Linked DNA regions of Saccharomyces cerevisiae S288C. The main gene of each other region encodes a partner of the protein of the gene in region 2 in a complex. Each region holds a gene or a part of one and is shown on either strand. Other genes may lie near its edges.

Region 1 (11,206 bases), on a different chromosome or scaffold from region 2:
ATTAGCACGAACATTTTATCTGTACGGTTTGTCGCTTTTAGCTGCTCGGGCTCTTCCTCTCGGTTACCGAGATGATAACTCGGCCGAATTTTGTAAGTACAAATAAAAAGAAAGTGACACAATTCTAAAAGTATCACTATAATTTATTATTTTGAGAAAGATAAGGTTCCATAGGTACATGATATATTGACTGATTTCTGATAGCTCTTTTTTTTCCAATATCGATAAAAAACTAAAATATGGAGGAACTAGGTTTAAAAAGCACTTTTCCATATGAATATGGCTCAGACTTTACAATGATAAGAACGGAAATGTTAAATACTACGAAGAGCGAAACAACTATTTTATTTTCCAATATAAAGAGCATTTTGGCCATTATTTGGAAATACTCATTTACATTTTTAAGATCTTTTTCCGATTCCATCAAACTTATTATTGACGATGTTGTCACTATTGGCTCCCGAAATTTTGCAGAGAGATTACAGATTGAAGCGAAAAAAAACAATGACCAAGAAGATATCTGGGCATCCACAATAATTTTGGGTGTGATTATCGGGTATTTAATCTCTTCTATTAAGAGAAAGAACACTTTTCCAATAATGCCTACGAGCTCACCTAAAATAGATGATTGTAGGTTCAAGACTGGTGATACCATATCCATTGTAATAAACTTTAATGAAGACTGCCTCAATAATCGAAGTGACGTTACCGAAGAGAGAAATTATGAGGAATCCACAGTTTTACATTCAAAGGAGTCAGTTCTCAGCATTGGTAGGCAAAATATGGTAACTTTGAACCAAAGCGATGAAAATTTCACCTATGGCAATTTTGATGAGTACGACTTATTAACTAAAGATTATACAACAGAGGTCTTAACGCGATCACCTGGCTCGAATCCCGAGTTTAAAGCAGTGGTAAATAATACATTACTTGATAGCGCGAATGAAACGCCGTTTAAAGGTATTGAAAAAAGTATTAACGAAACAATGGTTAAAGTTCCTATGGGATGCGATGTATCTCTCTCCCATTATGGCAGACAATACGCGCCTGGAAATATTTCAATTATGAGAAGCTTCACTGCTCGAGATAATACTAAATCTGTGAGTAGAGAAATTCGTGATATCTGTAAATCGTTTTTGATTATAAAAAGCCAATTTGGTGACGAACTTTTCCTGACTATGTTCATGGAAAAACCAGTTTTCTTTGATAACAACATCCCAATTGAAATAACTGGAGCATACCGAGAAAAACGAGAGCGATTAGATGAAGTGATTCATAAGGATCTTATCCGCTATGATGAAGTTCAAAATTTGACAAGGATTCGCAATTTGCTCCGGGTTAAAAGTCAAAAGATTTGTTCCAGGAGACATAATAGTTCGGTTCCCACAAAAAAATTGTTAGTTAATGATAAAGGCGCAACTTCGATTCTACTGTGGTACTCTAACTATTCATAGATAAAGTTTATTTGATACATAATCCGGAAAATGTAAGATATGCCAACTGTTAACTAGAAAACATCTGTACTCTATATATCGGAAACAAAAACTTTACGGGTACAACCATGATGAATAAGCTCGAAATTTTTGCCTTCCATATGAGTCCCATTTTGGTGACCAACTCTCCTACCCGAATTACTGTGATGATATATACTCTTCGTTTTCTAGTAATGGCTTCATTTTGCCTAAGTTGGTCAAAATTGTTGTGGGCGGCTTTTGTTTGCACCGAGGAGCGCTCAGTTCGTTATAATACCAGTTTTGCCACTCCTAAACTACTAAAGAAATAATAGAAAGATATATTCATCAAACATAATCACAATCAAAAAAATGTCTACATATGAAGGTATGTAATGATATATTATGAAGTAAGTTCCCCAAAGCCAATTAACTAACCGAATTTTAATCTGCACTCATCATTAGATTAGAGGAACATGGAATACAACAAAACTCAAGGGATTACCAAGAAGTAGGAGGAACTTCACAGGAGGAGCAGAGAAGACAGGTCAGATCCCAACTGCAAGGTCTATTTCAAAACTTTGGTAACACCAGTGGTGAGGGTGATGCACATTCAGATTCAACACTACTTTTACGATTATTATCGCAAATGCTTCCAGAATCATTACAGGAAGAATGGTTGCAAGAAATGGATAAAGGCAAGAGTGCGGGCTGTCCTGATACTTTTGCAGCCTCTTTACCACGAATCAATAAAAAAAAGCTCAAAGCAACTGACAACTGCTCCATTTGTTACACTAATTATTTAGAAGATGAGTACCCCTTAGTAGTTGAATTACCTCATTGCCATCATAAGTTCGACTTAGAGTGTTTGTCTGTCTGGCTATCTCGAAGTACAACATGTCCATTATGCAGAGATAATGTTATGGGCCACCGAATCATTAATGAGATTGATACAACTGAAGCAGAACTGGAAGAAGATTGGGGTATGTACGGTTAATATCTTTCTTTTATATTATATAAAGACACCAAACCTAAGTAGAATAGGTAACTACGTCTTCTTTCACAGAAGACAGACCTACAAGTATTTTGATTATCATGATGAAGTAAAAGCAACGATAAACTTTTTACTAGGTATTATTATTCTGCGCTAACAATAATTATCGCGAGTTGAAAATTTTCAAGCGATGCTCCTAACATTACTGTAAAACAACAGTAGATGAGTACAAGGCAAGCTTAAAAAGAAAGTATTCAAGATGGGTAAGAGCAGCAAAGATAAAAGAGATTTGTACTATAGAAAAGCAAAAGAGCAGGGCTATAGGGCTAGATCTGCTTTCAAACTACTTCAACTCAATGACCAATTTCATTTCCTGGATGATCCAAACTTAAAAAGAGTTGTAGATTTGTGTGCAGCACCAGGTTCATGGTCACAAGTGCTCTCGAGAAAACTGTTTGATGAAAGTCCCAGTTCAGATAAGGAGGACAGGAAAATTGTCTCTGTCGATTTACAACCGATGTCCCCCATACCTCATGTGACAACGTTGCAAGCCGATATCACTCATCCTAAAACATTGGCGAGGATTCTAAAACTGTTTGGCAACGAAAAGGCCGATTTTGTTTGTAGTGATGGTGCACCTGATGTTACTGGGTTACACGATCTTGACGAATACGTGCAACAACAGTTAATTATGAGTGCGCTGCAACTTACTGCATGCATTCTGAAAAAAGGTGGAACTTTTGTGGCAAAGATCTTCAGAGGTCGTGATATAGATATGCTATATTCCCAATTGGGCTATCTATTCGATAAAATCGTTTGCGCAAAGCCAAGATCATCAAGAGGTACATCTCTGGAAGCTTTTATTGTTTGTTTAGGCTATAACCCACCATCCAATTGGACACCAAAATTAGATGTAAATACATCCGTTGATGAATTTTTTCAAGGCTGTTTTTTGAATAAATTGTGTATATCAGACAAATTGTCTCATTGGAATGAAGAGGAGAGAAACATAGCCGAATTTATGGCTTGTGGAAGTCTTCAAAGTTTCGACTCAGATGCCACTTATCATGACCTACCTTCTTCGGTTGCAGGCACTTCATCGTCCTTAGATCCTGTTCAAAGCCCGACGAACCCTCCCTACAAGAAAGCTTTGGAATTAAAAAGGAGCGGGAAACTCACTAGATCAGTTTGATTGCAATATTACTACCTCTAATCAAACAATTAAATAAGTCACTACATTATAAGATTATCTACAAAATCAACTTTTCCTTGCAATCATTAAAAACGATATAGGTTACGGTTATGTAGAATATCCATTGTATAATATAAAAGAAAATGAAACAGTAATTATATTATATTATATTACATGCAAGCATTGAGGAGTATGGCAATCATTTTTCTTCTTTTTTACTTCACCTCGTCTCTTAAAACATCTGCTTTCGAATTTGCGAGTAATAGAACTTTCGAATTGTGACAGAACCATTGAGAACATGGTGAATCTGTCAATATTACAACCCAAAAGCCGGTTGGTGGTAAACCGTAGTACGGAGCATTACAAAGGATTCCATCGTATAAATTATGCATAAGCATCACCTTGATCCATTTGCCTTGCTCCTATTGCCCTGCTTGTTTGTAGGAAAGCCCCTTTTGGTCAAACGAATTGTTCAGTTCGGGTTTACGCATTACATATCTCCTTTTTAGATACAAAAACCTCGAAACGCTCACATAAACCCGGTTGTTCTTTTGAGTACCTGGCCAATGGAGACATAGCTTGGGGTTAAGTAAAAGTGAAAGTCAGGTTGATACATGTGCCTTTTATTCCACCGAAGAAAGCTTATCCAACATAAGAGCATTATTTAATGGGCTTTCCAATTTATTATTGGCATACACTTCTTTCAAAAATTCGCCGGTCTCAACGGCAGCAAGTGCTCAGCAGATGGAAATTATACGTTAATACTTTTTCCAATGTGATATAACGAAAAATTAGATACTGTGAATTGTGTTTGCCACCTTGATGTTGACTTAGTATTTCCTCTCGGTTGTAAAAGCCAAGAAGGTTTGACTGTTCGTCAATTAAGGTTCTTACGTGGGTTGTGCTAGATACGACGCGAATCAGTATGGTTTCTATCTGCCAATCATATCGGTTCTCTTCCATGGGCTAGAACAGATGAATTCTAGCTCTTTTTTAGCTGGACCAGTAAGGTTCAAATGGTATTTGATAATAGAGAATCACATATCTCCTTGTCCATTTCTGAAAGTATTAATTCAGTCATATCCAACTAGTCACAAACATCCGCATAGGCTTGATAAAACTCACAAGTGGCAGATTCCGAATTATGTGTCATATTGGGGTCATATTAGGACCTTCATTTCAGAATTGCTTCTGCTCCAATAAACTTTTTTTGATCCAAAAATCGTCTGATATAACGGGCGATGTCAATTGAATAATAAAACGGGTTCTATCTATTTTCTTGATCTTTGAAACCAAAACAGTTAGCAGGCAAGTGCAAACAAGTTGTCAATTGCACTCTGTTAACGAAAAAAATATATCTCATCTCCGCCGGTCTTCTTTGGTGGATATATATTACTCCTCCTTAAAGGTCATGCTCCTTTTTATGGGTTCTCGTCGTAATAATCCTGAAATTGTAAAATAATTTAGAGCTCAACACCACCATTGAGAACGTAGAATTTCAATTTTTAAGCTGATTCTCTTTCTGCATGAACTCTCCTAGCAATGTGAAACTTCTCTTAAGGGAAATTTTCGCCTTTTTGAATGGGCATACTTGGCCAAAAATTCAGGATTGAATATATATAATCGGAACTTGTATGGATAAAAATTTATATCAAGAGTCTGTTTCTTAATTGGATTTGCTGTGATCTAGTATTGAGATGACTATAAACCGGCCAGGAAATTAGTCTTTTCGAAGCTGGTTTTGGTTTCGCAAGAGTCTTTTTGACAGCTTTTTGGCCTCAATTTGTATTCCCTTAATACGCTTCTTCAACTCTGTCTTAGAGACCATTTCTCCAGTGGCCTCATCTAGGTGTAAACTAGCAATAGCGTCACTAGCTGCCGTGACATTAACTTGCTGTGGCACCTTTATATGTAATATGAACCATCTTTCAATGGATCATAAGAATAAGTGTCGTAAAAGGCCAAATATCCATGCATAAATATCGACTTATTCGCGTAAATGTGATATGGATCAGCTAGTACCAATTTCTAGTCTAGCAAAATCGGGAAAATTTTTCAGAACACCCACTCACCGCATCATTGAGGTGGAAATGACAATAGTAAGCAGAATTGTTATTCTTCACAATGTGTAAAAGTTATAAAGAAATAGGAACCACCTTTAAATTAAGACAAAGTAGAATATATTAGCTGAAATTGTATTTGATAATTGATCATTGATCTTATTTGCTATATCTTTAAAACAAGTTTTTGTAGTACTGCGAATTGCCATAACATGCTAAATGGGGAAGACTTTGTAGAGCATAATGATATCCTATCGTCTCCGGCAAAAAGCAGGAATGTAACCCCAAAAAGGGTTGACCCACATGGAGAAAGACAACTGAGAAGAATTCATTCATCAAAGAAGAATTTGTTGGAAAGAATCTCGCTTGTAGGCAACGAAAGGAAAAATACATCTCCAGATCCGGCACTCAAACCTAAAACGCCAAGTAAAGCTCCCCGTAAACGTGGAAGACCAAGAAAGATACAGGAAGAATTAACTGATAGGATCAAGAAGGATGAGAAAGATACAATTTCCTCTAAGAAAAAGAGGAAATTGGACAAAGATACATCAGGTAATGTCAATGAGGAAAGCAAGACTTCTAACAACAAGCAGGTGATGGAAAAGACGGGGATAAAAGAGAAAAGAGAACGCGAAAAAATACAGGTAGCGACCACAACATATGAAGATAATGTGACTCCACAAACTGATGATAATTTTGTATCAAATTCACCCGAGCCACCAGAACCTGCAACACCATCTAAGAAGTCTTTAACCACTAATCATGATTTTACTTCGCCCCTAAAGCAAATTATAATGAATAATTTAAAAGAATATAAAGACTCAACCTCCCCAGGTAAATTAACCTTGAGTAGAAATTTTACTCCAACCCCTGTACCGAAAAATAAAAAGCTCTACCAAACTTCGGAAACCAAGTCAGCAAGCTCGTTTTTGGATACTTTTGAAGGATATTTCGACCAAAGAAAAATTGTCAGAACTAATGCGAAGTCAAGGCACACCATGTCAATGGCACCTGACGTTACCAGAGAAGAGTTTTCCCTAGTATCAAACTTTTTCAACGAAAATTTTCAAAAACGTCCCAGGCAAAAGTTATTTGAAATTCAGAAAAAAATGTTTCCCCAGTATTGGTTTGAATTGACTCAAGGATTCTCCTTATTATTTTATGGTGTAGGTTCGAAACGTAATTTTTTGGAAGAGTTTGCCATTGACTACTTGTCTCCGAAAATCGCGTACTCGCAACTGGCTTATGAGAATGAATTACAACAAAACAAACCTGTAAATTCCATCCCATGCCTTATTTTAAATGGTTACAACCCTAGCTGTAACTATCGTGACGTCTTCAAAGAGATTACCGATCTTTTGGTCCCCGCTGAGTTGACAAGAAGCGAAACTAAGTACTGGGGCAATCATGTGATTTTGCAGATCCAAAAGATGATTGATTTCTACAAAAATCAACCTTTAGATATCAAATTAATACTTGTAGTGCATAATCTGGATGGTCCTAGCATAAGGAAAAACACTTTTCAGACGATGCTAAGCTTCCTCTCCGTCATCAGACAAATCGCCATAGTCGCCTCTACAGACCACATTTACGCTCCGCTCCTCTGGGACAACATGAAGGCCCAAAACTACAACTTTGTCTTTCATGATATTTCGAATTTTGAACCGTCGACAGTCGAGTCTACGTTCCAAGATGTGATGAAGATGGGTAAAAGCGATACCAGCAGTGGTGCTGAAGGTGCGAAATACGTCTTACAATCACTTACTGTGAACTCCAAGAAGATGTATAAGTTGCTTATTGAAACACAAATGCAGAATATGGGGAATCTATCCGCTAACACAGGTCCTAAGCGTGGTACTCAAAGAACTGGAGTAGAACTTAAACTTTTCAACCATCTCTGTGCCGCTGATTTTATTGCTTCTAATGAGATAGCTCTAAGGTCGATGCTTAGAGAATTCATAGAACATAAAATGGCCAACATAACTAAGAACAATTCTGGAATGGAAATTATTTGGGTACCCTACACGTATGCGGAACTTGAAAAACTTCTGAAAACCGTTTTAAATACTCTATAAATGTATACATATCACGAACAATTGTAATAGTACTAGGCTTGCTAGCTTTGCTTTCCCATAACCAACAATACTTAGTGATGTATCTTAAAACGACTAAAAAACTTCTCATATAACCCTACTGAAAAACGTCTGATGAGCTCTTCGAAAATTCAGACGAGTTATGACCTATATTTGTTTTTCATTTTTTTTAGGTGAACCCCGCCATTCTGAAAATGCCCTATTCAGAGCTCAATAACCGAAAAAACTTAAAAATACTGAATAAAAGCCATAATCCTATGAACCCCCTTTCTTGAATGAGTAAATTCAATAGCATTGTTGAATCAGAATCGGTGCCTCGGGAGCATAAGCAACACAGGACATCATAGAGATAATTTTAGTTGCCATTCATTTTTTGCTATTACGTTTTCCCAAGCTCTTGTTTTCGTCCCTGTCGCCTGTTATTTTCTTTCTAATTAGCACTGATCATGTCGATCACGAATGGTACTTCTAGAAGCGTTTCGGCAATGGGCCATCCGGCGGTAGAGAGGTACACTCCAGGCCATATTGTCTGCGTAGGCACACATAAAGTTGAAGTGGTAAATTATTTAGCAGAAGGTGGCTTTGCTCAAATTTACGTGGTGAAATTCCTAGAGTATCTTAATGAATTTGATAATACAGCAAGTGTTCCCTTAAAGATTGGCGATGTCGCATGTCTGAAAAGAGTATTAGTTCAAGATGAGAATGGATTGAACGAGATGAGAAATGAAGTGGAGGTAATGAAGAAATTGAAAGGGGCCCCAAATATAGTACAATACTTCGATTCCAACGCCTCTCGCCGTCGTGATGGCGTTCAAGGATTTGAGGTTCTTTTGCTAATGGAATTGTGTCCAAACAAATCTTTGCTAGATTATATGAACCAACGATTGTCAACGAAACTGACAGAAGCTGAAATTGTGAAAATTATGTATGACGTTGCTCTTTCTATCTCTCAAATGCACTACCTTCCTGTGTCCTTGATCCATCGCGATATCAAGATTGAAAATGTCTTGGTAGATGCCAAAAACAATTTCAAGCTAGCTGATTTTGGGTCCACGTCGACATGTTTCCCAATTGTCACTACTCATCAAGATATTGCTCTTTTGACTCAAAACATCTATGTGCATACTACTCCGCAGTATAGGTCCCCTGAAATGATTGACCTTTACAGATGTCTGCCCATTAACGAAAAATCAGACATATGGGCTTTGGGAGTTTTCCTTTACAAATTATTATTTTTCACCACCCCTTTTGAAATGACAGGTCAATTTGCTATATTACATTCCAAATATGAATTTCCTGTCAACAAATATTCATCAAAACTAATCAACTTAATCATTATCATGTTGGCGGAAAACCCAAATTTGAGACCGAACATTTATCAAGTATTATACCATTTATGTGAGATTTTAAATGTGGAAGTTCCAATCGAGGATAAGTATGCGGAAGGTGCCTATAATTTTTCTAAATATACGCAGTTTCAGAATAAATTACAAAATGTTCAATTGCAAATGTACCAGCTACAACAAAAGAAAATTATGCAGAACAATAAATTGAGTGACTCAGAAGAAAACTTACTGAATGACATGTTTCTTTCTTCTTTTGAAATCTCATCCAAACTTCCCATGAACGCTAGTGACGGTCATGCCGCTGTTTCTAGAATACCATCTCAAAATGTCGGCCAAGAACTTGAAGAAGAGAAAGAAAGTCAATCCGATCAGAGGAAGTCTACCCTGTCCGAAGATAAATCGTCAAGAACAACATCGAATGCTAACAGTTCTGGTACAGCCAATAATCCTCAAGAAATCAATACAATCCAGTCTCCAGGTATAGAGGACAAATCAATTTTTGAAAATAAAACTCCTGGAGAGTTATATTATCCAAGCGTGAGCGAATTAGATACTTATTTGGACAAAGAATTGGTCAAACAATCAAGTGATCCGACTATTTCTGAACAAAGTCCTCGTTTGAATACCCAATCACTACCACAGAGGCAAAAGAGCACAAGCTCTTATTCTTCAGGTGGCAGATCAATGAAGAGCACATCATATGGTGCAGCAACGATCGGGTCAGACGAAGCCTTGGCGAACGAGAAAACTGCTGGTATTAATAAGATGAAACAACATAAATCGAATAATCCCTTTCCAAAAATGAATGTTGCATACCATTCTACGAATGAATTGAGCAATGACGCAAGTAACTTTTTCCTGGAAGAACAACAGCAAGGCCAGAGATATCAGCAAGCTCAAAATCAAACAGGTACACAAGGGAATACCTTTCCAGATGAATCTCAGTATCAATCTAGAGTTGAACAACAGCAGCAACAACAGGACCAACCCAAAGGACCTGCTAATTATAGCCAAAGAAATTTCTACACTGGGAGGGATCGGTCCAATAAACCTATGCAGTTGGGTGGAACTATTGCTGGAGATAGTGGTAATAGAAGAGTCAACTTTCAGAATATTTCTCAAAATTACGCCACGAACTCCCAGTCAGGATATCTCCCAAGTCAAAATTCCCCAGCAATTCCAATGGTGAGACCTGTTATTTCCATGAATCAGCAGCAAGCGCAACAGATACAAGCCCAGCAATTGCAGGCACAACAGATGCAGGCAAAGCAACAGATGCAAGCCAAGCAGCAGATGCAAGTTCAGCAACAACTGCAAGTCCAACAGCAAATGCAAATTCAAAATGCAAATAATAATGGTACTTACGTCTCTGATAGAACAAATCATACCACAGAAGATATGAGAAATGCTCAGGGGGGTGAACCTCCAATTCTTGCAGGAAATTCTGCAAATGAACCAATGCACTCATCCTCTAAAAATGAAGCTCTCTTAATTGAACTATCTCCATTAAAAGAAGATGCAGGAAAGCAATCTTTCCAAGATACAAATGAGCCTCAAACTGGCGGTATCGAAGATGCCGGCGGTTCAGGAACTATCAAAGGCTCGAACAATAATCGAAATGGCGTTTTAAATTTAAGTTTGAATGAGATGGACTTATCAAGAGATGATACTGGTGCTGCTGTCTCCTCCTTTTCATCGTCTTCATCGTCTGCATCAATTCAACAAGCTAAGCTTTCTGGACGCAAAGGTTCCAGTAAGAGGAACAATTATTCAACAGACGAATTGGGAGATAGTATGGTCTCCAGCGAAAGCATTGATATTGATTTGGATGATGCAAGGAGAGGAAAAACAGCTGAAAGAAGACCACTCCATAATGAAAGAGGTCATAAAGACCAGGCAAGATCAAGTGATGCTAGTAAGTCTAATCAATTCAAAAGCAAGGACTTCAGCAGCGTATCAACAAGGCAACCGCGGCAGTCATTGGATCTGAATTTCCAGGAAGTAAATCTGTCTTCACCAACGTTAACTCAAGAGCATAGAAATAAAAACGACTCGCCAGCACCAAATTCA
Region 2 (11,206 bases):
GGACAATTTTCTCCAGAAAATCCAAATGAATTCAAACCTTTAGTCGACAGTATTAAGTACCACGGCGATTATTACCTGGTCAGTGATGACTTTGAATCCTATCTGGCCACCCATGAATTAGTGGACCAGGAGTTCCACAATCAAAGGTCAGAATGGTTAAAAAAGAGTGTCCTGAGCGTTGCAAACGTCGGCTTCTTTAGCAGTGATCGTTGTATCGAGGAATACTCCGATACCATTTGGAACGTTGAACCAGTGACTTAGCTGGGAGTTTTTTTTATCTCTTTGGCACCCTTCTCCCCATTTCTAGTAAGCGCTTTTTTCTCTTTACTTCTTCTCTTATATAAAACGCCTTTAAAATAATCGTTATCGGTTTTTTGGCACTCTTTTAAATGGTATATATGATGTTACAGGAAAACTTAGTTGTTTTCATATTGAAAATCCGCGCAGGATAACGCTTGTGTAAAACCGAGTGTCCTGAAGGTGGGTAAGGCGGTCCTTATTATCACTTACTCGAACGTTGACATTGGTACAGTCCCTATCAGGTAGGATGTACTGACGTTTTGACAATAGTTTCGATTTTATGGATTGTTTGAAAAGAGCGAGACAGTGACAAAACGTGATAGATTACATAGTAGTCAGTATACAACTTTCCGTAATTAGCCACGAGGCCAGAAAGGAAGAGAGAATAGTATAACCTAATATAGATCTGCAATATCACTATTTTGGAACTCCTTAGACTCATCTGGTTTCGCTCTTTCATCCTTAAAGCTTCCATTTTTTTTCTCTATTGGTTTACTCGTAAGCTGATGCTGCCCCTGTGAGGGCGAGATTGGGAATTGTGGATGAGAAGGTCTCGAGCCTTGATGATGATCACCAGCCATATTGCGAGAACCGTTTGAAGGATTATAATTTTTATTGATTGGCGCATTGGATTCTTGGCGACTATATTTCTGTGGTTGCCTATTGAAGTTGGTTTCCGGCTTGTTCACGTACCTAGGGTTATGATATCTAGAGTCATTTGGCGAGTTTTTGTACCGGGACTCATTTGAATTACCCTGGTATCTTGACTGAGGCCCCAATGGCAAAGGTACTTTATTATATTTAGAGCTGACATTTGTCTCAGGATGAAATCGATTTACGGGATTCCTGCTGTTGTTGGGTGCAGTGCTGTTGCCGCTGAAGCGATTATTTCTGGAACTATTGTTGGGTCCGTATCTATTAACTCCTGCAGGGGCTGCTGGCGGTGGAATCGCAGTTTTAGCATATCCGCTGTTCACATGATACGGTCTAGGATTTTGATGTAGTTCTCTTATTTTCGAAGGAGGCGGCTTAGCCAATACGTTCTTTGATGGAGGCAAAAAACTTGCGTCATCTTTCTTGGGGCCTCTTGGGATCGCCCCAAGATTTTTCACGACAGGTGATTCACCCTTTTCAACTATATGACCTCTTGGCGCAGTAGGTACTCTTTGGGACAATGATTGGTGCATTTCTTCCTTGTACCTCTTAATATCAGCTTCATGACTTTCTTCCGTCGGTAATGTTATCTTCTCTGATGGTAAAGGGTCCTCTTTAAACCAAGGATGGTGTTTAGCAGACATAGCGGTCAACCTCTTGTAAGGATCTAACGCTAACAACTGTCCTAAAAAATCTAGACCTGTTTCACTTAGATATTTACCAAATCTTTCCCTCAACGTTGGCTTGTAATTAGTTGTTGTTAGTTCAGCACCTGGCAAATATCTAGCCACGGCCCAATCTTCTTCTGTCGGTGTACCAAGTAGTTTGAAAATAACATGTCCCTGATCAATATCCGTTTTTCCCTGTAAAATAGGTTTTTTCTCAAAAAATTCTGCGAAAACGCATCCGACACCCCATATATCAACAGCTGTTGTATACTGTTTATCACCAAGCACCAACTCAGGTGCTCTATACCATCTCGTTACGACTACTGATGTATATTTGGCGCCGGAACCTGCACCACCAGGATACTTTAAGTTTGGAGGACAGCCATAATATAATCTTGCTAAACCAAAATCAGCAAGCTTTAAAACACCGTTGTGGTCAATCAAAATATTTGCTGTCTTTATATCCCTATGCATGAATTTTGCACAATGAATATAATTTAGGCCTTCTAATATTTGTAGCATCATATTCTTTATATCGCACATCTCTAAGTTGATTCTCGGATTATGCAAAACGCCCGACAGATCTGCTACCATATACGGCAGGATCATGTAGAATGACTTATGTAGGTTGCTGGATGCCGCATTTGTAATATCCGGTGAATGGTCATACACCATTTCGATTAGTTTAATAATATTTTTGTGGTTTAAACGCTTTAAAATAGTAATTTCTCGTTGTGCAGTTATAGGAAACAGATCTTTTTCAACGCTAACTATAATTTTTTTCATTGCCACTTGTCTTTGAGTCTCTAAATGAATTCCCTTATAAACCTCACCAAATGTTCCTTGTCCTAATTTTTCATCCTCACGATAATGATTCTGGAAAACTGTACACCCGTAAACTTTCTCACTACTTCTTTTTCTTAGTTTGATGTATGTTAAGTTAGTCTTCGCATCTCGCTGGATGGCTGGTGTACTCTTCACTTTGCCGATTTTGTATTTATTAAATTCGGTTTTTGGAAGAACCGCGGGGGAACCATTATCACTCATATTATTTTACTGTTATTCTGCTTGACCACGAATGTACTGCTAATACTATACAATTTCTTTTGCTGGTGTTTGGTAATATTTCTTTTCACCATTGTTAATTTCTCTCTCTACATTGCCTATGCTCTATTAAATGCATATGTGAATTTTTCAAATTCACAGAGGTTTGGTGTATGGGTGTATTTCCGTTCGACGCGATGACCACATAATCTTGAACTTACTTATTAGGAAAGCTGAACAGTGGAATATCAGAGTTGCTACCGCCAATAAAATGTCTGTATATTGTTCCCAAGATTCACAGTTGTGTCCAGGAGTAGTACATATTAGATTTGGGGATAATTCTTCTTAATTCCTGAAGAATGATCTGCATCTGGTAACTTCTCAAGTCAAACGGGATCATGGTGCCCTGAAATTGATAATTGCTAGCGTAAAATGCTGCGGTCGCATTATCTCTCAAACCAACGGCTGATTTCTCGGTAAAAAAATCCAGTTGCACTAAATTTTCCCAAACGTTCTTGACGTCCTTTTTCAACCATAGTTTGATAGTATTGTCGATAGAAAAAGTACTTTGACCTGTTCCCACATTTGTAGTAGGAGCCACGGTGGGAATTCTGGAGTTGATAGCTTTAATCATCTTTTCATACTCTGCATAAGCTAAATTAAAATTAAAAGATCCGTCTTTCGCCCTTAAGGCAACCCTAGCGGCTGAGATCAAAATGGCTAACTCTAAATCGGATAAAGATTGGAGCCTTCCTGTTAAATTATTAGATAGTTGGTTCTTATTGTATATGTCAAGAAAAGAACACGATTTTATGGCAGTGCAGAGTGAACCAAAATTTTTGGATGTCGCTACTAATGGAATTATGCTATTTTTCAATGTAGGTAATGACCTAAAGGTTTCGAAATTCATCCTAATATGTCTATTCAAATTCGATCGAGGGTCGGATAGTTCTTTTTCCAACGTTTCATTCCATTGTGAAACCCAGGGGGAGATTTCAGAGCGAACTGTAAGTAAATTTCTGACGGCGTCAACCATATCGTCTAGATTCTGTATTTGCGGCATATAAATCACTCTTTGAGAAAATCTACTCTTTACCCTCTTTTCTAAATATTCCAAGATATTTAATTTCGTTGTGCAGCCAAAAATGCAAACAGGTACCCGAGAATGTTCTACCATGTCAAAAAGATTGTATAATAAAGTTTGCCTCACAGGCCCAGCAAATGTATCAATTTCATCGAATATAAAAACAACTGTTATCTTTGTTATACTCTCTCTGTCAACCTCACCACTATCTTCATTTCTTGTCTTCGTGGTCGAATCTAAGAGTAAAAGAATTTTCTCAAACACTTCTGTCAAAGAACCACTGCTAATAGTCTCTAATGAAGTATCGTCAATTTTTTCTTCACTGCCATGAATTTTCTGCAACTGCTGTTCCAATTGAGTTGCTATACCGTTAATAGCTGTTTGTTCGGAGTGAATAAACCCATTCAACCTGATAGTTATAAACTGCTCTTTATAAGATTGTTGCAACAAAGACAGTTCATAGTCTAATAAGTATGTTTTGTAACTTTGTCTGGGCCCCACGAGAATTACTGAATGACTCTCTTTCTGAATAATGGATTGTTTAATGATTCTATCGATCTCTTGTTGACAATCTTGTAAATATGTGAAGATTATCTTTTCGTCCGTAGGAAGTGTGCCATAAAGTTGCTGCAGTAACCTTCTTTGAAGGGAACCAAAACCAGGGTCGCTGTCTTTACACTTTTCATTATCTATAGTACGCTTTTTTAGAATCGCTGCAGTCTCCTCTACCTCTTCGTTTGAGTGCCTCTTTATTGGGAGAAGATTGACTTGCGGTGATAGACGAGCTTCGCTTATAGTCATGCTTCTTCTTTTGAATATTACCGATATTAGTAGTTTATATTTGATATTTCTATCAGTATTATTTAGATTTTTTTTTTTTTTTTAATTGTTAATGCTTTTTCTTAGAACTTTCCAAAAACGAAAGGAAAATGGGACATTCAAAAACTTACCTCACATAGAAAAATGATAAATCCAAAAATACACTTGAACACATGTATGAAACTTAATACAAAATATATGGTTATTTTTTTTTTAATTATATAATAGAGTTAGAATACCTGGTAGAAAGGAGAGTAGAAAAACAAGAAAGAAAAAAAGCAAACAGTAAATACAAATGTACATTTTATCATCATACAACACTCTATTTCTTACCAACAACTTCCCAATTGTCACCATCTTCAACAGTCAATTGAGCAGTTTTATCCTGTAGCTTTTCAACTGCCGCATCAACTTTGTTTTCTTTTGCGTCTCCATTTTGCTTTTCAGCCTCTTCATCTTCATCATCATCTTCAGTACGTAAAACATCATAAACAGACTTCTGGATTTTTGGTTGCTCATCAGTAGTCTTTTTGTTAGTTAGAGACCTATCCTTGTAGGTATTTTTGGTTTGTTGAGGCTTACCAAACTGAGCACCTCTGGCAGCACCCCAATCCAAAGCTGGTTCTTCCTTTTCTCTTTCTCTTCTTGGTGGTCTTGAGGAGCTTTGGAAGTTGGAACCTCTGGCTGCACTCCAGTCAATATCTGGCTCTTCTCTTTCTCTTCTTGGTGGCCTCGAGGAGCTTTGAAAGTTAGAGCCTCTAGCTGCACTCCAGTCAATATCTGGCTCTTCTCTTTCTCTTCTTGGTGGTCTGGAAGAGCCTTGGAAATTGGAGCCTCTTGCAGCGCTCCAGTCGATATCAACTTCTTCTCTTTCTCTTCTTGGTGGTCTGGAAGAGCCTTGGAAATTGGAACCTCTTGCAGCAGTCCAGTCAATATCAACTTCTTCTCTTTCTCTTCTTGGACCTCTGAAGTTAGAACCTCTAGCGGCACCCCAATCAAGATCTGGTGCATCTTCTCTTCCATCACCTTGGAAATTGGAGCCTCTAGCACTACTCCAATCAACATCTGCACCTCCCCCTCTTCTTGGAGCCGCAACAGAAACGTAAACAGTTCTCTCATTCAATTTAGTACCGTTGAACTTCAGAACGGCGACCAAATCTGCTCTTTCTTTCAAAGTAACGAAAGCATTACCCTTTAATCTTGTTGGGTCTCTTAGATTCTTTGGCAAAACAACTTCTTCAACCGCTTCAGGCTTAACTAAACCATCTTCAACCCAGGCTTGAACACCCTCTGGGGTAATATCCCATGGAATGTTGTTTATGACAGCCCTATATGGTGGAGCATCTGGAACAGGGTATTCCTCTCTTCTATCGGAAGAACCGCCCCCCAAAGCAGGGTCTAATCTAGATCTACCTCCAAAACTGCCACCAAAGCCGCCTGAACGCGTGTTATTGCTGTTGTTTTTAGCATGAGCCAATTCGGACAATGGAATAGTGTTTGCATTAGCGGTTTCAATAGGAATTGTGATCTTATTCAAATCGACATCTTCTTCAGCCCAAGATGAACCAAAGGTGTCATCATTTAAAAATGACGTAAGGTCCATCTTCTTTACGGTTTTCTTTGGTGGAGCCATGATGTGTCCTTTTTATTATGGTATTATTTTCCTAAAGACAGATGAAAGCTAATATAAACTCGAGTTTTATGATAATCCCGCTTATTGGTCTACTGATCTTCTCTAACTCTGTAGTTATATCTATCTCTTCTGCTTCTATTTCTGCTTTTCTTTAGCGATGCTGATTTCCGCAAAAAAATTTTCATTCCGTGGTGCGTGATCTGATGAGAAATAAAGCCAAAAAGAAAAAAAGACAAGAAGACAAAAAGGTTGGGCGGCTAAGTAGCGCCAGGATATAAAAAGCAACATAGATTTCAGTACCCTATTATCCTGCCAAAATTTACTTTAAGAAGTCTCTATGAATATACAGGCTAAATTTGGAAACATGAGAAAGGAAAGATGAAGATACAAAGATTGCAAGCAGTCAAGAAGATTTAGGAAAAAAGGAAAAAGCAAAAAATATCGATTTTTATGACTTACAAACTAAATTGATATGTTCGAAATAATTTTGAGAAGCTGAGCTCAATCTGGTACTAATCACTTCAAGTTAGATGTGCAAAGAAAGAGAATAGCATAAATTCAAAACCAAAGGAAGTGCGAGGCATTACCCGCATATTATCGGGAAACAGAAGCCATGTTAGAGTGATTTCCAACAAATGGCCCTTTGCCAGAGATGGGCTCTGCAAAAGAATTGGAAGAAGAGAAGAAATCGCTTCACATTCCGTTTCGTTTCTGGGTCTAATTAAAGTAGTACGGTGTCAATTAGGTATGCTAGGTTTGCGAACTCATGGTTTAGACAGGTATGAACATTATATTCGTCGCCCGTCGGATTTTGGCAAACTTGAGCTGCAAGATTGGTTGAATCATAAGTCATTCCGAGTTTCCCCCAATTTATTAATTGATTCAAGCACCACACGTGAGTGGAATGAACCTGAGCTTTTTTATCAAAATACCGAGGATGAAACTTGGGTGAGACCTTGTGTAGGGCCAAAGCTAGAACCATCAATGATGATGCTCAGATATCACGATTCGAATATTGGTCAAATGCCTCAATTTTGTTATCCAATCTCAAGTCCGATAAATTTTAAACCAGTATTAAAATACATTTTGCAAGAACGTTCTGAACTGTCAGACGGCTTCCCTCAAAAGTATAACACACTAATAGGTAGTCTTTTTGACATTGATAAAAACCCAGAAACCTTAGATGATTCAGATATAGAAGCATTGGATGACATAGAAATGAGCAGTGACAGCGGTAATGTTAAAGAACCAAAAATTGAATTGCAGGCGCTGGAAGAAATCCAACAAAAGCATTTCAGTTTAATAGTATCCAACAATGGAATCTTTCAAACAGGTAGCACTTCAATAACATACATACAGTCTGGCATATCTGGCAGCATAGCTATAAAACCCAACAACGTTGCAATTTTAATATTACTCACTCAACCAAGTGGTCACTTATTGTCTATTTTACCGCTTGATGACGGTAAAGAGACATATTTGCTACAATATTGGAACCTGGGACAAAAAGGTCAGTGGAACATAATCAAGCACCAAAACGAGAAGCAGTTTGTTCTTATACATAAGGAACTAGGCATTTGCAAATTTTTTGAATTCCATTTACCATTTACTTTTCAATTAGTAAACAATTTAACATTGACCGATTCCGTGATTATGAACGGATCCTTTTTCCCAACAAATTACACTGATTTAGATCCCTATTTCATTATATTTATAACAGCCATAAGATATGAAAGGATAGTCTACTTTGTCATAGAATGGAACAACAACGAAATAAAGAAAAAAGAGGTATATCAATTGACAGTATTTGATGGTGAGAAGACTAATATGACAATACCCATTGGACTAAATGCATGTTTAGTCGAAACACCCCTAAAGTTCTCTTTAGTTTCTGCAAATCAAATTATGTCAGGAGAGACTGAATTCCACTCATTCCAATTGAAGGCTCTCAAGGGAATCAAGTCATTTTTTCCAGCTCCTTTATTGTTATTAAAATTACAAGAACTACACCCACATACATTTAAAAAATTCCAATATTGTACCATAATATCCTCCTCGACAGGAAATATTTGTTTTTGCGTCACCGAACGATCGACAATAGTAAATGGTAATTTAAAATTTTACGAGCTAACTAGGTTCAAAGGATTGAAATCCATTTCACCACTACCTTCAAATCCGATAAATTTAGACTCCAGATCCTCAAGTTATGTACTGGTGGTCATAAGTTTTAGTAGAACATTAGAGCTAACATTATCTCTAGAAGATTTGAGATGTTTAGATAAAAAAGACGTTATTAAGCCTTTGAAAAATATCACCTTCAAGCACACAATTGATAGTTCCACAGAGGAGAACTCTCAAATTTTAGCATTTACGTCTTCTAAATTTTATAACACACACACAGGCTCTAACATCAATGACACGAGAAATTCTCAAGTTTGGCTTACCTCACCAAATGCAATAACTCAACCTTGCATTGATTATAAACTCAGGAAAACTCATCAACTTATCCACTTAAAGCAATTTCAAATTTTTAGACATCTTAGGATATGGAAATGTAAGAACCTTGATATTGCTCTGTTACAGAGACTTGGAATAAACCAGTCAAATACCGAAAGTTCGTTAATTTTTGCGACCGACGCTGTTTCTAACAACAGAATATTTTTATTAGATTTAACTATGACAACGACAATCGATAATGATGATCCCGTTCAAGGACTGATAAATATAGAAGATTTACTATGTGATACTGAAAACGAAACTATCCTTCTAAATTTTACGAAAAATAACTTGATTCAAGTAACTAGGGATACGATATACATCGATCCCATTGGTGGGGACAAAGAGTTGCGTAAGATTTCTCCAGGTTGGGAATTCGAAAACGTTACATACAATGATGGTATTTTAATAGTTTGGAATGCTGGGCTTGGCTGTGTCTCTTATATTGAAAATATAGACGCTGTTGATGAGTCTGGCGCCTTAGTTTCAAACTTAAGCAGCAGCAAAGGCATGAGCAAGTTCTTCAAGCAGTTAGGAACTGTCACGAGTGTCAATTTTCAAATCAAAGAGTCTACAGATGATCCAACCAAGTATGACATTTGGATCCTTTTACCAGACTGTGTCATTCGTACACCCTTTTCTGACTGGATTAGTGATTCACTTGATTTTTCTGATGTGTATATTTTGAGTGTTCAGCAGGCGTTAATAAACGGCCCTTATTTTTGCTCTCTCGATTATGAATCATATTTTGAGGTGCACACTTTACAGAACAACTGCTTCAAAAAAGGATCCAGATGTACAAGCAGAGTTAATTTTCAAGGGAAAGATATTAAATTTAGAAGCTTTGGTGTGAATCAATGTTTGGCATTTAGTGCATTTGAAATTTTTGTCATCAATTTAACGCCAATTCACGACAGTAGAGAATTGGATTTTTACAAGCTAAAATTACCGCACCTAGGTAATAACAATTCAATTCTTGAAGTCTGTCCGGACATAGAAAACAACCAATTATTCATACTCTACTCTGATGGCTTAAGAATCCTCGAACTATCATACCTAACATCAAATAATGGAAATTTCTTATTAAAATCTACAAGAAGCAAAAATAAGAAATTTTTATATCTAGACAAAATAAATCGAATGCTGGTATTGAATCAGGACTTGAGGGAATGGGAGTGTATTAGACTATCAGATGGTAAGGCAGTTGGTTTAGATTCTCAACTTCTTAAGGATGATTCTGAAGAAATCCTAGAAATAAAGGAATTACCAATAGCAACAGAGGACAATCCTTTAGAAAAGAAAACTGTATTATTGATCTCTTTTACTAGCTCATTAAAACTAGTTTTATTAACTGCTGCAAAAAACAAAATTTCCAATCAAATAATAGATTCGTATAAACTTGACAATTCAAGACTCCTCAATCATTTGGTCATTACTCCCAGAGGTGAAATATTCTTTCTGGATTATAAAGTTATGGGCACCGATAACGAAATGTCCTTTAACAAGTTGAAAGTCACAAAACATTGCATTGACCAGGAGGAGAGAAATAATACGACTTTGCGGCTCACTTTGGAAACCCGGTTTACATTTAAGAGTTGGAGTACAGTTAAGACGTTTACTGTAGTAGGCGATAATATCATTGCTACCACAAATATGGGCGAAAAGCTCTACTTGATTAAGGATTTCTCTTCATCATCTGACGAATCGAGAAGGGTGTATCCCTTGGAAATGTATCCTGATTCAAAAGTTCAAAAGATAATACCATTAAATGAATGCTGCTTTGTTGTTGCCGCTTACTGTGGAAATAGGAACGATTTAGATTCAAGATTAATTTTTTACTCTTTACCCACCATCAAAGTTGGGCTTAATAACGAAACAGGCAGCCTACCAGATGAATATGGGAATGGGAGAGTCGACGACATATTCGAGGTTGACTTTCCTGAAGGATTTCAATTTGGCACTATGGCTTTGTATGATGTTTTACATGGTGAGAGGCACGTAAATCGTTACAGCGAAGGCATACGGTCGGAGAATGACGAAGCAGAGGTTGCCCTAAGGCAGCGTAGAAATTTACTACTCTTTTGGCGAAACCACTCTTCTACACCAAAACCTTCACTACGCCGAGCCGCCACTATAGTATATGAGGATCATGTATCATCCCGTTATTTTGAGGATATAAGTTCTATATTAGGAAGCACTGCAATGAGAACTAAAAGACTATCTCCCTATAATGCGGTAGCATTGGACAAGCCTATTCAAGATATTAGTTACGATCCCGCAGTACAAACTTTATATGTGCTAATGGCAGATCAAACAATTCACAAATTCGGCAAGGACAGGTTGCCTTGCCAGGACGAATACGAACCAAGATGGAATTCTGGCTATTTGGTTTCAAGAAGGTCAATAGTTAAATCTGACCTCATCTGTGAGGTTGGGTTATGGAACCTTAGCGATAACTGCAAGAACACAGTATAATTCCCTCATTTCCAATAACATTGTCGCTGATAA
Region 3 (11,206 bases), on a different chromosome or scaffold from region 2:
ATTAATTCGCACTCCAATTCTTCTCTCTCGGTCAGTGGAGGTTCAGCGTTTTCAAGGTCATCTATATCGCCCAGTGAAAAATCTGATATTTGTAAATTTCTAAAATCTTCAATATTTCCATCACCGGCAATGGATCTTTTCTTGTCTGATGCATCGAACACAGGTTGACCCTTTTTATCCTTGCCAAAGAAATAATTTAAAAATTTGTCCTTCGTTTGCTTCGATTCTGCGTCGATACCATCATCATCGTAGTCACTGTTTTTAGCAGAATCTTGATCTATATTCGAAGAGATAGATGAAGTACCATTAATACCGTTGGTTTGTCCATTCTCCTGTTGAGACAACTTACTTTTCAATAACTCTTGATTCCGTTTTCTACGCGTTTTCATGATGTCATCCATTGCTTCTGTTGCACTTAAAAAATTAGGATGATTAGTATTGATGTAGGCTCGATGTATGTCAATCAAGCTTTCAACGTAAGAGCGAGTAGGTTGTAACCTTTCTCTAAGTAGTTCGCTTATAACTTCTATTAACATACTCTTCAATTTAGGATATCTAGCTAGCTCAGCGGAGCCACATTTATGGCATATTTTCATCAGCTCCTCGTAAACTAACTCGACGCAACGTTGAGATGGTTCTAGTAAAAGTTTAATTTGAGGTTTAACCAATAGGTCAAAAGCCAACTCAGGTACAAATAATGTAGGACGGGGACCAGTAGAATTTCTAATCGCTGTTCTAACATCAAGAACGGATAAATTAGAAGTTGGATCAATCGACTTCAAAGAATTCCCAAAAACATTATTGTAAATGTAATAAATACGGGCACCACCACAGAGTTCCTTCGTATTAATGTCGGAGGATGTACCATCTATAGATGAAATGAAGTTTGTAGAAAACTTATTCATTAGTTGAAGAACAAGGCTAGCTCTGCTTTCATTAGTAGTAGCTCCTACGCCACCGTATCTAGCGAGCTCTTGTTCGGTTTGAGAGATCAGGGTATTTAACTTGGTTTTAATATCCGGAAGCTTGTCTCTAATGTGGCTTAATAATGTCTGGTTTAGCAATTTAGCTAAATAACGCGTACCACACTTTGTTGAAATAGTTCTGTAGACTGGATGTTTCCTGAAATAGTCCTCTTCTTTGTCCAATGATTCTTCAACGGTTTTGTTCAATTGAATATCCTGTTGCGAGCGATTCACTACACCAACAAACCCCAATTTCAGAGGATACATTTTTCCAGACAAGATATCTAGAGCATTAGTCCCAGAATCCATCAAATCTAATTTGGTAATGACACCAATAGTCCTTTTGCCCTGAGGGTCTACCTCTCTGGCCAACTTTAAGGATTCAGAATTAACAAGATCAACGTTAGCTGGAGAGACGGCCAAGATTAAACAATTTGGAGTGGCTATATAGTCTAGGATCAAATTCTTGATTTGCTTTTCAATATCAGGTGGTTGTTCCCCAATAGGAACCTTTGTAATCCCAGGCAAATCTACTAGCGTTAGATTCAAAACATGAGGGGAAAACACTTTCAAATTAATCGGAATCTTACTGATGCCCTTATCCTTACCGGCTATCCTCGCTGTTTCGTTTTCGATTTCTCTTTTGATATCGTCGAAATCATAAAACCGTTTTCCTGGTATATGCAGGAATTCCCCCCACTCATCTGCATGATTTCTTTCCTTGCCCCTATACTCCAAGGGCTTCGTACCAGCTTCGAATCCTGATATTTTTGTAACTTCATCATGTGGATTAACTGAGTTATCATCTTCCTCTATTAGAGGAGAATTTGGAGATATGTTATTAAGTTGAAGAACTAACGGTCTTCTTGTGACAATACCAGTACCCCTAGGTAAAAAATCTCTTCCAACTAACGTTTCCAATATCGAGGATTTCCCGGAGGATTGTGACCCAACAACAGCTAAAATGGGCAAATCGAGTGTATCGATCCCGGAGTCGTACATAACATCCTGCAGCTTGTTGACAGTAGGAATAAGATCTTCTAAACTAGCCATTCTTTATCCGTCGTATTTAGATTCGCTGGTAGCTACTTAATGATAAACTCTTTAGCAAATTGTGGCCAACCTGAGCAGTAGAGTAAAGGTAATATTTCATCCTACCCTCTTATTTATTGTTCCCACACTTTGTTTTGCCCGACCTTACAGGCGTGCACCGCGTAGTAAAAGTTGAGGACCTATCATTACCTAGAAAGGTGGCGATCAAGGTACTAACAATAAATACAAACATGCATTTTCTAAGATCGATGCTACATACGTGTACTAAATAATAAATATCAATATGTATCAAGTTTTAGGCAAGGCTTTAGCTTTTTTACGCGGTTTTAGCATTGTTATCGCCAACGTGTTGATGTTGCTTGCAGGAACCGGCTGATTTCTCTCCCGATGCTCCCTCTTCCCTGTTAAAGATTGAAGATTTGTTGCCATTCTGAGCAATAGAAAATCACGAATATTGGTGAAAGCTTCTATTGCGCCTTCCTCTGTATCGTATTCCTCTCCAGTAATGTACTTCTTGATTGCCCTAAACTGCTTCCTTGACTTCGGTACAATAACATCGGCACTAGATGGAAATAAAGATGGAGTGGCAAGAGAGTATCCCGAAATACCCATTACAGATGATGTGACACTTAATTTGAACTCTTGACGCTCTTGTAGTTCAATCCAGAAGGATGATAAGCTTACTTTGAGGAGGCGATCTTCCTCTGCCAATTGGTGTATAAATCTAGCCTTAGGATCGTCTGGGAATAATGGAATATTATATACCGCAAGAGAATTTTCTTTAGAGGTAAATATATCACCCACTTGCCATAGTGGATATTTCATCCCTCTTAGGTATGATCTTACTCGAGCAGGATCTTCGCCCGGTATCCTTAATTTTGCTTGTGTATCATTTTGAAAGCATTCAATTAGTAATCTATCCAAAATAAAGCCCCACCATTTCATTAGTTCCTCGCCATTTAGTATATGCTTTTTGCTGTTTTTTGAAGAATCTGGGAAGAGGTACTGGGATGCAGGTCTAGTAAATAAACAAATTTTGGTCAAAATCTCACGAGGACAGGTGAATGAGAGATAAAGATCTTGTTGAAAACGTGGAGATTCTATTTCTTTCAAAACGGTGCTGCCTGACTGTTTAAGCCTTCTAGCCAAAATCCTTAAAGTTCTTGCTGGCGTACTGGCTGCGCTAATCAGCTCGGGGGATATCTTCTTATATGATCTTATTGCCGGTTTTACTTTTTGAAGATAGTAATTCGGGTCGATTGATAATATAAATTCTAATATTATTTTTGTAATATCTCTAACGCTTACCCTCGTATTACAATAACCATTAGTGTCTGCCTTTGATACAAATATTAACCGTTCGGCATCTGCTTCATCCCAAAGCGTGACATACACATACACTTCTAATGAAAAAAAAACTTTTCCTTGGTGAAATAGACTAAAGAAGTGTTGAGTCTTGATCGTGCTTTTTGGGACCCTTTTGTCGTCCTTATTTGGGGTTACGACAGCATGGGTTTCTAACGGAATAGATTGCAACGATAAGTATTCAAATTGTTCACTGACAGGTAGCACGGAACTTAGGAAGTCATTCAGTGACATGTCTTATTGAAGACCGGTTGAATTGACCTTTTAACTCTACTGGACAACTCTATTGACAAACTGTAGTTTGTTAAGTAATGCGTTATGGCGTCCATTTTCCATTATAGCTTACAACGCGAACACGAAAAGTATAGTATGTTGTGATGTTTTCATAGACCTGGAGAATATTATTAGTAATTGTATGCATCTCAGAAGCAAGAAAGGTTACGACTACATATGCACACATACATACGTACATAATATATATATCTATTGACGTTTACGACTTAACGGGGATTTATCATGCTCTCTTATATAATCCATATCTTGATCGATTTTAGGAGAATTGGCGCTTAGGCTAAAAGGTACAGCGGGTATTCTGCCAAAATCAATATGGTCAACTTTGGATGGCATGTTTCTAGTGGTACGCCTAGGAGAATACCTTAGAGGTTTTCCTCGCGTCGGAGATCCGTTTAAGCCTGTCGTACTTTCAAGGTTGATCTGTTTTTTAGCTGTAGAATCAAGAACACTGGAAGATTTCACCGGACTTGGTATGGCTCTTCTTGCCCTGCTATAATGCGACTTCATCGCTTCCATTCTGTGCTGCTTTATTCTTTCTGAGCCTGGTATGGTTGAGGCGTTTTGAGAGTCTGATCTTATGGGAGTTTTTAGTTCATGTTTAAGATTGAAGTCCTTCCTTCTCTTTGGAGAACTGTCTGAACGATTTTTCCATAATAATAACAATCCCCTTACAGTGGCCCTGTCCCACCGATGACGAAACACCTCGACTGTCTCATCATTACGCTTAATTTTTAGGAATCGAAGACTCCACATTTTCAAGAATTTGGATGTAATTATGAATTGTTTATTAGCTTCCGATTGTTCCAATAATGTACTCATATAAAATATTTCGTCTAGATGAGTTTTCCAAATATAAAACGTCTTGACTAACACAAATTCTTCGCGAACTTCGTCTGCTAATTCTTCTGATTTTACTATCTCTAAAAGTCTTTCTCTAAATTTCTTCAGCACCATTTTTTCAAGCTGGTAGTTTCTCTTTGAAATAGCCTGAATGTTACATTCTTCTGTGTAGAAGCAAAATCTATTTCGCCAAGCGTTGAACAGTTGGCTTTGAAGTTCGCGCTCTTTACTCTTTTCATAAACGTGTAAAATATCGTTTAACTTATGCCTGACTTTGAACCTTGTGGCTTTCCGCCACTTTAAAAAGGCCTTAGAAAGCTTTACTCTATCCATAGAGGGCGCCAGTTTCGTATATAGCAAATGAACATTATCAATATGCATTAGCGTCCGTTTTACAGTCAAAATTGCATGTGTCTTACATAAGAAATTGTATCTATCCTCCAATTCCTTAGTTTTAATCAGGCGTTCTTTCCATATAGCTAGACACTCATTTACGAGACCCTCTTCGTAAAATTTGGATGCTTCGTCATTCATAGAATTCATTTGTAGCATCCTCCTTTTCCACACACCAAGATATTTTGCACAAAATGCCGTTTTAACATGTTCGCTCGATATTTTCCCATACTGTATTCTTTTCCTCCATGTACGATACGCGCTTGCTTGAATACTCTTTTTACATTTCTGCTCAAATATTTTTAACTTTACTTCAAGTTTCCAACTTCGCAATGATGACTTGAGCAAATTAGTCCTCGAATAATCGCTTGCTTTGAGGTCAATATATAGAAGTTTTTTCCATGAATGAAAAATACGCTTCACGAGGTTAGCCTCTTTTAGACTTACAATTGAATACAAATGCAGATGGTCTTCGAATCTTTTCAGCCACATCTTCTCAAAAACGCACCTCAAAAGTGTCTGATTTAGTTTACTCTTTGCAATTGCCTCTTGTTGACTATGTTGAAATGACCGGTTTAATTTGCGAAAAAACTTTTGTTTGATGAATTTATTCTCCAGTTCATAAAGTGCCCCAAGTTTATCTTCGTTTTCAATGTTTTTCTTTTCCCATTTATTCAGATATTTTCTTTGTAGAGAAAACGACCTCACTTTTTCTGCAATGCTCTTATTGTATTCATAGTTTATAACTTTCTGTTTTATTCTTTCGAAAATCCTTCTTTCCAACCCGTGGTAGTTTATTTCTTTATGTCTTAGCTTCCATATATGAAATGTTGTTCGTAAAAATATCTTCTTAATGTTGTCAGTGTTAACAGTTTCTAAGTGTTTCCAATGCTCTTGTGCCTTTAAAATTTTCCTAAACATCTTATTCAAAAAGGCCTGATCTGCTAACCTTGACTGCTCCTTAAGAGTTTGTGTTAAAGTTATCCATTGTTGGAACGAGCGAAATAGTAGCCAAGTATTCCTAAAACTTTCAGCTTCATCGTTGGCCATCTGTGAGTATTTTAATGTTTTATCACTCCAAATATAGAAGACGGCTTCCTGTACCCTCAGCTTTGCTTGATTTGCAAACCTGTTTGCCTCTTCATTCAATTCACATACAGTCTTCCAGTGATTAAAATGTCTTCTGATTTTGTTCTTAGCGTAGGTATATTCTGCAAGGGACAATGCAATGAATTTGTTGCGAGGGTGGATTAAAAATATTTCTAAAATCTCTTCTATAACAGAATTGAAAGTGAAAAAACCTTTCAGTTCATCTTCCAATATTGTGAAGTACTCATCGCGTAAAGGATTGATGCCTTCTTGAATAAGAATATTGACATAGTTTTTGAAAATTTGTAAAAAACTTCTGGATAGTTTGAAATGAACCAAAAAAGCTTCAATCTGGCGGTATAAATCTTCGATTACCTCAACGGATATATCATTCAAATCATATCGTAAACCATTCTTAGGAAGATCGGTAACGTCTTCATACTCCAGATTTGTCGAATCAACCGGTGGAGAAGGAAGATGGAACGGCGGGTCTTCGAAAAAGCCTTCAGTTTTATTTAATTCTATAGGCTTTAAAGCGTTAACAATATACCTTTCTGCGCCTCCATGAATTAGTGATTCGGTGGAATCCGTTATTTGCCCTTGCTTGATGAGTACATCAGTGGGAATATTAGTTGGAGATGTCTCGGGTACGAATTTATCACGCAGAAGATTCTCCGTTGATTTATTTGTCGTGCCGAATTTGCCCATAACCTAGCACATATAGGCAATAGATTGTGATTAATAGGCCACCTTTATTTTTTTGTTGCTGCCTTCTTGAGTTTCCCATTGCCAATCTTCGCGCATCATGGCACTATCTATTTATTTTACCTATACATAATATTACCCTCCATTCGATAATAATAATAATAATAGTTAACACAGAAAAATGATGAGATACAGGTAGACTGTTCATTACAAAAACGTGGTTCTATGGTTCTATATATGTATGGTTATTTATTTACTTATTTATCCGTGCATTCTTTATCTAAATTCCTCTCCAGACACATTTTTCTACCAGATCGTAACTCTTGGTGCTTTGAAACTTAATGAGACCCATGTTTTCAAAGGCGAAGATTGCTTGCATGAATAAAATTAGTGCTACTTTGTCAAATGCGTCCGGTGTTTCTGCTAGTTCTAAGAGTTTGGTGTTGGAGGGATCTTTTCTTATGAAATTTAATATTTCCTCTTTTGGTAATGTTTCTCTGAACGCAATGTAGAAATCGTAAATGTTGATAGTCATATTCGCCTCACGATAAAGCTTGAATAGCTGACCCAGTACCGGAGCCATTATTTTATCCAAATCTCCAGAAAGAGTATCATAATTTTCTTTATCAAGCGAAGGCAGCACCTGCTCCCAACTTAGTAAGTTATCTTCGATATTTGACTTGTAAGAAGGGAAAATCGACTGGGTAAGTAATCCACTTCTGTTGTCCAAAGTAAATAGCTCTTGAAAAATTGTATCAATGGGTTCAAAATGAAGCCGATCCTTATACTCTTTACATGCTGACCAACGATCTAGATAGGAGTCTAGTTTGCCAATAAGCAAATTATGATATAATTCTATCAGATTAAAATTGGTTATATTCAATTCTTCTTCGAGGAATCGAGCAACAAACTTAGCATGCCCGTTAATCGGGTTCTCTCTTACCAAAAACTCAACAAAAAACTCTTCTAGGCCTCTGTTTTTGTTTGTCAATAATGAAAGAATTTCGTCAGCAGGAGCATGCTGCTTTATAAGACCTTCGACAAAGAACATGAATGTAGGACATCTGCTCAGTATTTTTAAGTAGTCGTCGTTCAAAAAATCAACATTTACAGGGTCAATGAATACTGAAAAGGCATTCTGGAAAAAGTACGACATCAACGAATAATCCAGCATCTTCGTCAATAATTGTAAGTTGTGATTAGTATTATTTGCCATCTTGCTGAGAATGAATTCCACAAAACGATCTGAAAGATTTAGTTTGCCATCAACCGTATCCAAAAAGCTTTGAAAGATTTGGTTTCCGTACTTAAATCCTTTATTACTCGACACGTCTAGTTTATGATAATTTCTCTTCAGAAGTCGTATGGTTGATTGTCTCAAATTTTTCTCAATATTTGACAAGTTTGTATTAATATTAAAGATTAAACTTATTTTAACATGGTCATACTTGAAGGCACTTTTCAATAGAATTATGAAGTTATCCAATGTGTTGAAGTTAATAGAATCTACATCTTTAAAATTAAATACCATTGCTAAGTCTTTTCCAAAAAGCCTTTTGAAGTTTTCCACAAGTGACAGATCGTATGATACATCATTGTTTTGCTCGGTAAAATCGCCATCTTCATCGTTAATGTCTTCATACTTGATAGTTGGATGTTCTTCTGCATCAGCTGCGCTGTAAAGTTTGTACATAGACCTACGAAGCATCATTCTTACATTCGGAGATTCTTTCGGAGTCAATTCAATCAAAACGTTGTAGCGAGAAGATTCGTCTTTAAGTTCAATTTTTGTCGTACTATCTGAACCTAATAGGAAAATAGTGTTAAAGCATCGCCTTTTCTGAGTAGTTTCACTATATAAAAGGTCTGAAATCTCTGCTTTCAAGTCTGCTTCAATATTATCGATAATATGATCTACTTGATCATGAAAGTGGGAATGTAACTGATGATACAATTCCCATCTTTTTTCCACGTTCACTTCCGATTCTTTGCCTGATAGAAGTTTGACAAAGGGAATGTGTTTATCATTTTTGTTACTTTGAGGCAAACTGGGGTATACTGTATAGTGGCTCCTTTGGGCGTCAGCAAACTCGCTGACGTTCATCTTTTTGGATTGGTTAAGGTCGCTCATCCTGTTGGACTACTCTTGTGATACTACGACTCTGTATGTAAACAATGCCATCTTTTGTCACTTTTCTTTTTCTTCAAATTACGGTGCGGAAAAATACGTCAGTAAATATCAAAAAGACACTAAAAAAGGCGTTAGTGGTAATGGAAGGTAAAAAAAATTCTTACCATCTAACAGAATGCTTAGTTCCATTATCATCACGTGTAGCGTTTCTGCTGGTCTTACTAAATATAAAGATAATAAAACAGCAGGTAATGAAACATTACTCTTGTGAAATTGTCAAGCCTGTCTCGTAACGCAACCAACGACAACCCTTCATCTCCAGTATAGTTTCAAGTTTCTGGAAAAGATTGTCTTTTCCACCTTTTTTTATTTTTTTTTCCTATTAAAAAAAAAGCTATTCTACAAAAAATTCTTTATGACACAAATTATAGCGTGTTTAAAAATTAAACAAATGTGCAAAGTATATTCACAGTAGACAAACTTCAGGAACTCTTTTTCAAAAACAAGAAAAAGACTTACCAAGAAGATGAATGCTACTAAAGAACTGACTTTTAATTTACTGAATAAATTTCAAGACAAAGAAAGATTTGGATCTGCGCAAAGACATGCTGGAATCTCACTAAAAGGGTTCATATCTGGTATATTGTTTTCTTTTTTGTACTTTTTATTTCAGCTGTCACTCTTTATTATTTTAAGATCAAGATTCAAGACTATATATCAGGCCAATGTCGTTCTGAAAATCCATCCAGGTTCTAAAGTTTGTTTTGCTAAGAAAAAAATAAAAAATTATTGGTCATTATTTGCATTTCTCAAGCAACTTCCCGGAAGAATGTTAGATCCTATGGAAAAATTCGAACGAAACGAAAGGTATGGCCTAGACAATTATCTATTTTTACGGTTTCTCAAACTTTTGATATTCTTTTTTGCAGTGTTATCAATTATCAACATTCCAATACTAATTCCAATCCATTATTTTTCCAGGGATATTTTGAAAGAAAATGAAGGTGAACGTTATGAGCAAAGTTTCAGGACGACAAGTAAACTTGACAAGTGGACCATGTCAAATCTATCACCTAATTCATCGAATACTTTAATCTGTCACTTGTTTTTGAGTATCTTTGTTGTACTCTGGTTTCACTTCATTCTTTCTTCGGAACTGAGGTTCGTTAATCGACTAGGATATTCCGTTTTGACGAAAAGTAAATACCAAAACATTCTATATTTGGAAGGATTCTCAAGTAAATTGGTTACCCAAAGTATTTCTTTAGAAACTTTTTTTCAGCCGCTACACAGTGATTGCTTTGGCGTGACGCATTTCATTCCAAAAAATTTGAAGAAAGTCCACAAATTAGAAATAAAGTTAAATAAATTACAAAAATCAAAAGAACAAATTATCTTTGAGATTATTTTAGAGAAATATTTTAGAAGAGTTTCAATACACAGGCATTTGATAGCAAATCACAAAAGATTTTTCTTTTCAAAGTTGAAAAACCATCTATTATTTCAGTACAAAAAATTGGTATTTTTAACTCAATTTAGAATTTCATACTATTGCACAAAAATTCGTCTGCGCTGGAAAAAGTCAAGCATCTTTCCGTTATATTACCCTAAACTGTATGTAAATACAGAAACAATATTAGAAAGGAAATACAGAATCCTTGATAAAATAATACGCAAGGAAAAACTCATTAAATTCCAAGTAAATTCCTTGAAAGCAACTTCAGAAACCAAGCAGGCACTGCCCGACGATTTATCGTCGGGCACAGACATTTATATGGATAAGATGTTCATTACCTTCAAGTCCACATTATTGTCAAACGTTATAGGTGAGTTGCTTTCGTATAGACTACCCACCCAAAATTTAAAAGTAATAATAGGCCCCAATGTTAATGACATTATTTGGAGAAATATCCTCGATTCATCACCCCTTTGGAAAAGTGCCAAATATTTCTCGGCAAATATATTGCGAATTTTTGTGATTATAGGCTGGATTTTGCCTGTCGCGTTCCTTGGGTTAATATCACAAATACCAAATATTTCCTCACTAATACCGTTTACAAAAATAATTCATTTCCAATCTCCATTTATAAGAGAAGTGGCAAAGAATTTGATTCCAATAGTAACCTTAATAATAATAATAGAAATCGTACCCTACTTTTTCCGTTGGCTGAGTTACCTTCGAGGGTTGAAAACTGGAGCGCAAATAGAAGCTGATGTCCAGAATTGGTATTTCGTCTTTGTCTTCATTCATCTTTTCGTAGTTGTTACAATATCTTCTGGATTTTCTATAATTATTGAGAGGCTTCTTAACAATCCTGTCAGTATCCCTGCTCTCCTGGCCAACGACTTGCCTAAATGCGCAAACTTTTTC

Evidence for each region.
Region 1: ORC4 (region 2) and ORC2 share a complex: the UniProt entries of both Saccharomyces cerevisiae proteins name them as parts of the origin recognition complex.
Region 3: ORC4 (region 2) and ORC3 share a complex: the UniProt entries of both Saccharomyces cerevisiae proteins name them as parts of the origin recognition complex.

Annotation. Positions count from the first base shown.
Region 1 is NC_001134.8:357,218-368,423, reverse strand, and holds ORC2 (origin recognition complex subunit 2), read left to right. Parts: upstream 1-5,909; coding exon 5,910-7,772; downstream 7,773-11,206. Other genes in the region: CNM1 (Cnm1p), read left to right, coding at 240-1,454; YBR062C (uncharacterized protein), read left to right, coding at 1,824-1,839, 1,922-2,448; tRNA methyltransferase TRM7, read left to right, coding at 2,705-3,637; serine/threonine protein kinase AKL1, read left to right, coding at 8,237-11,206. UniProt on the Saccharomyces cerevisiae protein: Component of the origin recognition complex (ORC) that binds origins of replication. It has a role in both chromosomal replication and mating type transcriptional silencing. Binds to the ARS consensus sequence (ACS) of origins of replication.
Region 2 is NC_001148.4:863,754-874,959, forward strand, and holds ORC4 (origin recognition complex subunit 4), read right to left. Parts: upstream 4,552-11,206; coding exon 2,962-4,551; downstream 1-2,961. Other genes in the region: GPH1 (glycogen phosphorylase), read left to right, coding at 1-261; cyclin-dependent serine/threonine protein kinase SGV1, read right to left, coding at 696-2,669; TIF3 (Tif3p), read right to left, coding at 4,892-6,202; MMS1 (Mms1p), read left to right, coding at 6,950-11,173. UniProt on the Saccharomyces cerevisiae protein: Component of the origin recognition complex (ORC) that binds origins of replication. It has a role in both chromosomal replication and mating type transcriptional silencing. Binds to the ARS consensus sequence (ACS) of origins of replication.
Region 3 is NC_001144.5:138,702-149,907, reverse strand, and holds ORC3 (origin recognition complex subunit 3), read right to left. Parts: upstream 8,836-11,206; coding exon 6,985-8,835; downstream 1-6,984. Other genes in the region: dynamin-related GTPase DNM1, read right to left, coding at 1-2,018; H3 histone acetyltransferase RTT109, read right to left, coding at 2,307-3,617; SFI1 (Sfi1p), read right to left, coding at 3,867-6,707; SPO75 (Spo75p), read left to right, coding at 9,362-11,206. UniProt on the Saccharomyces cerevisiae protein: Component of the origin recognition complex (ORC) that binds origins of replication. It has a role in both chromosomal replication and mating type transcriptional silencing. Binds to the ARS consensus sequence (ACS) of origins of replication.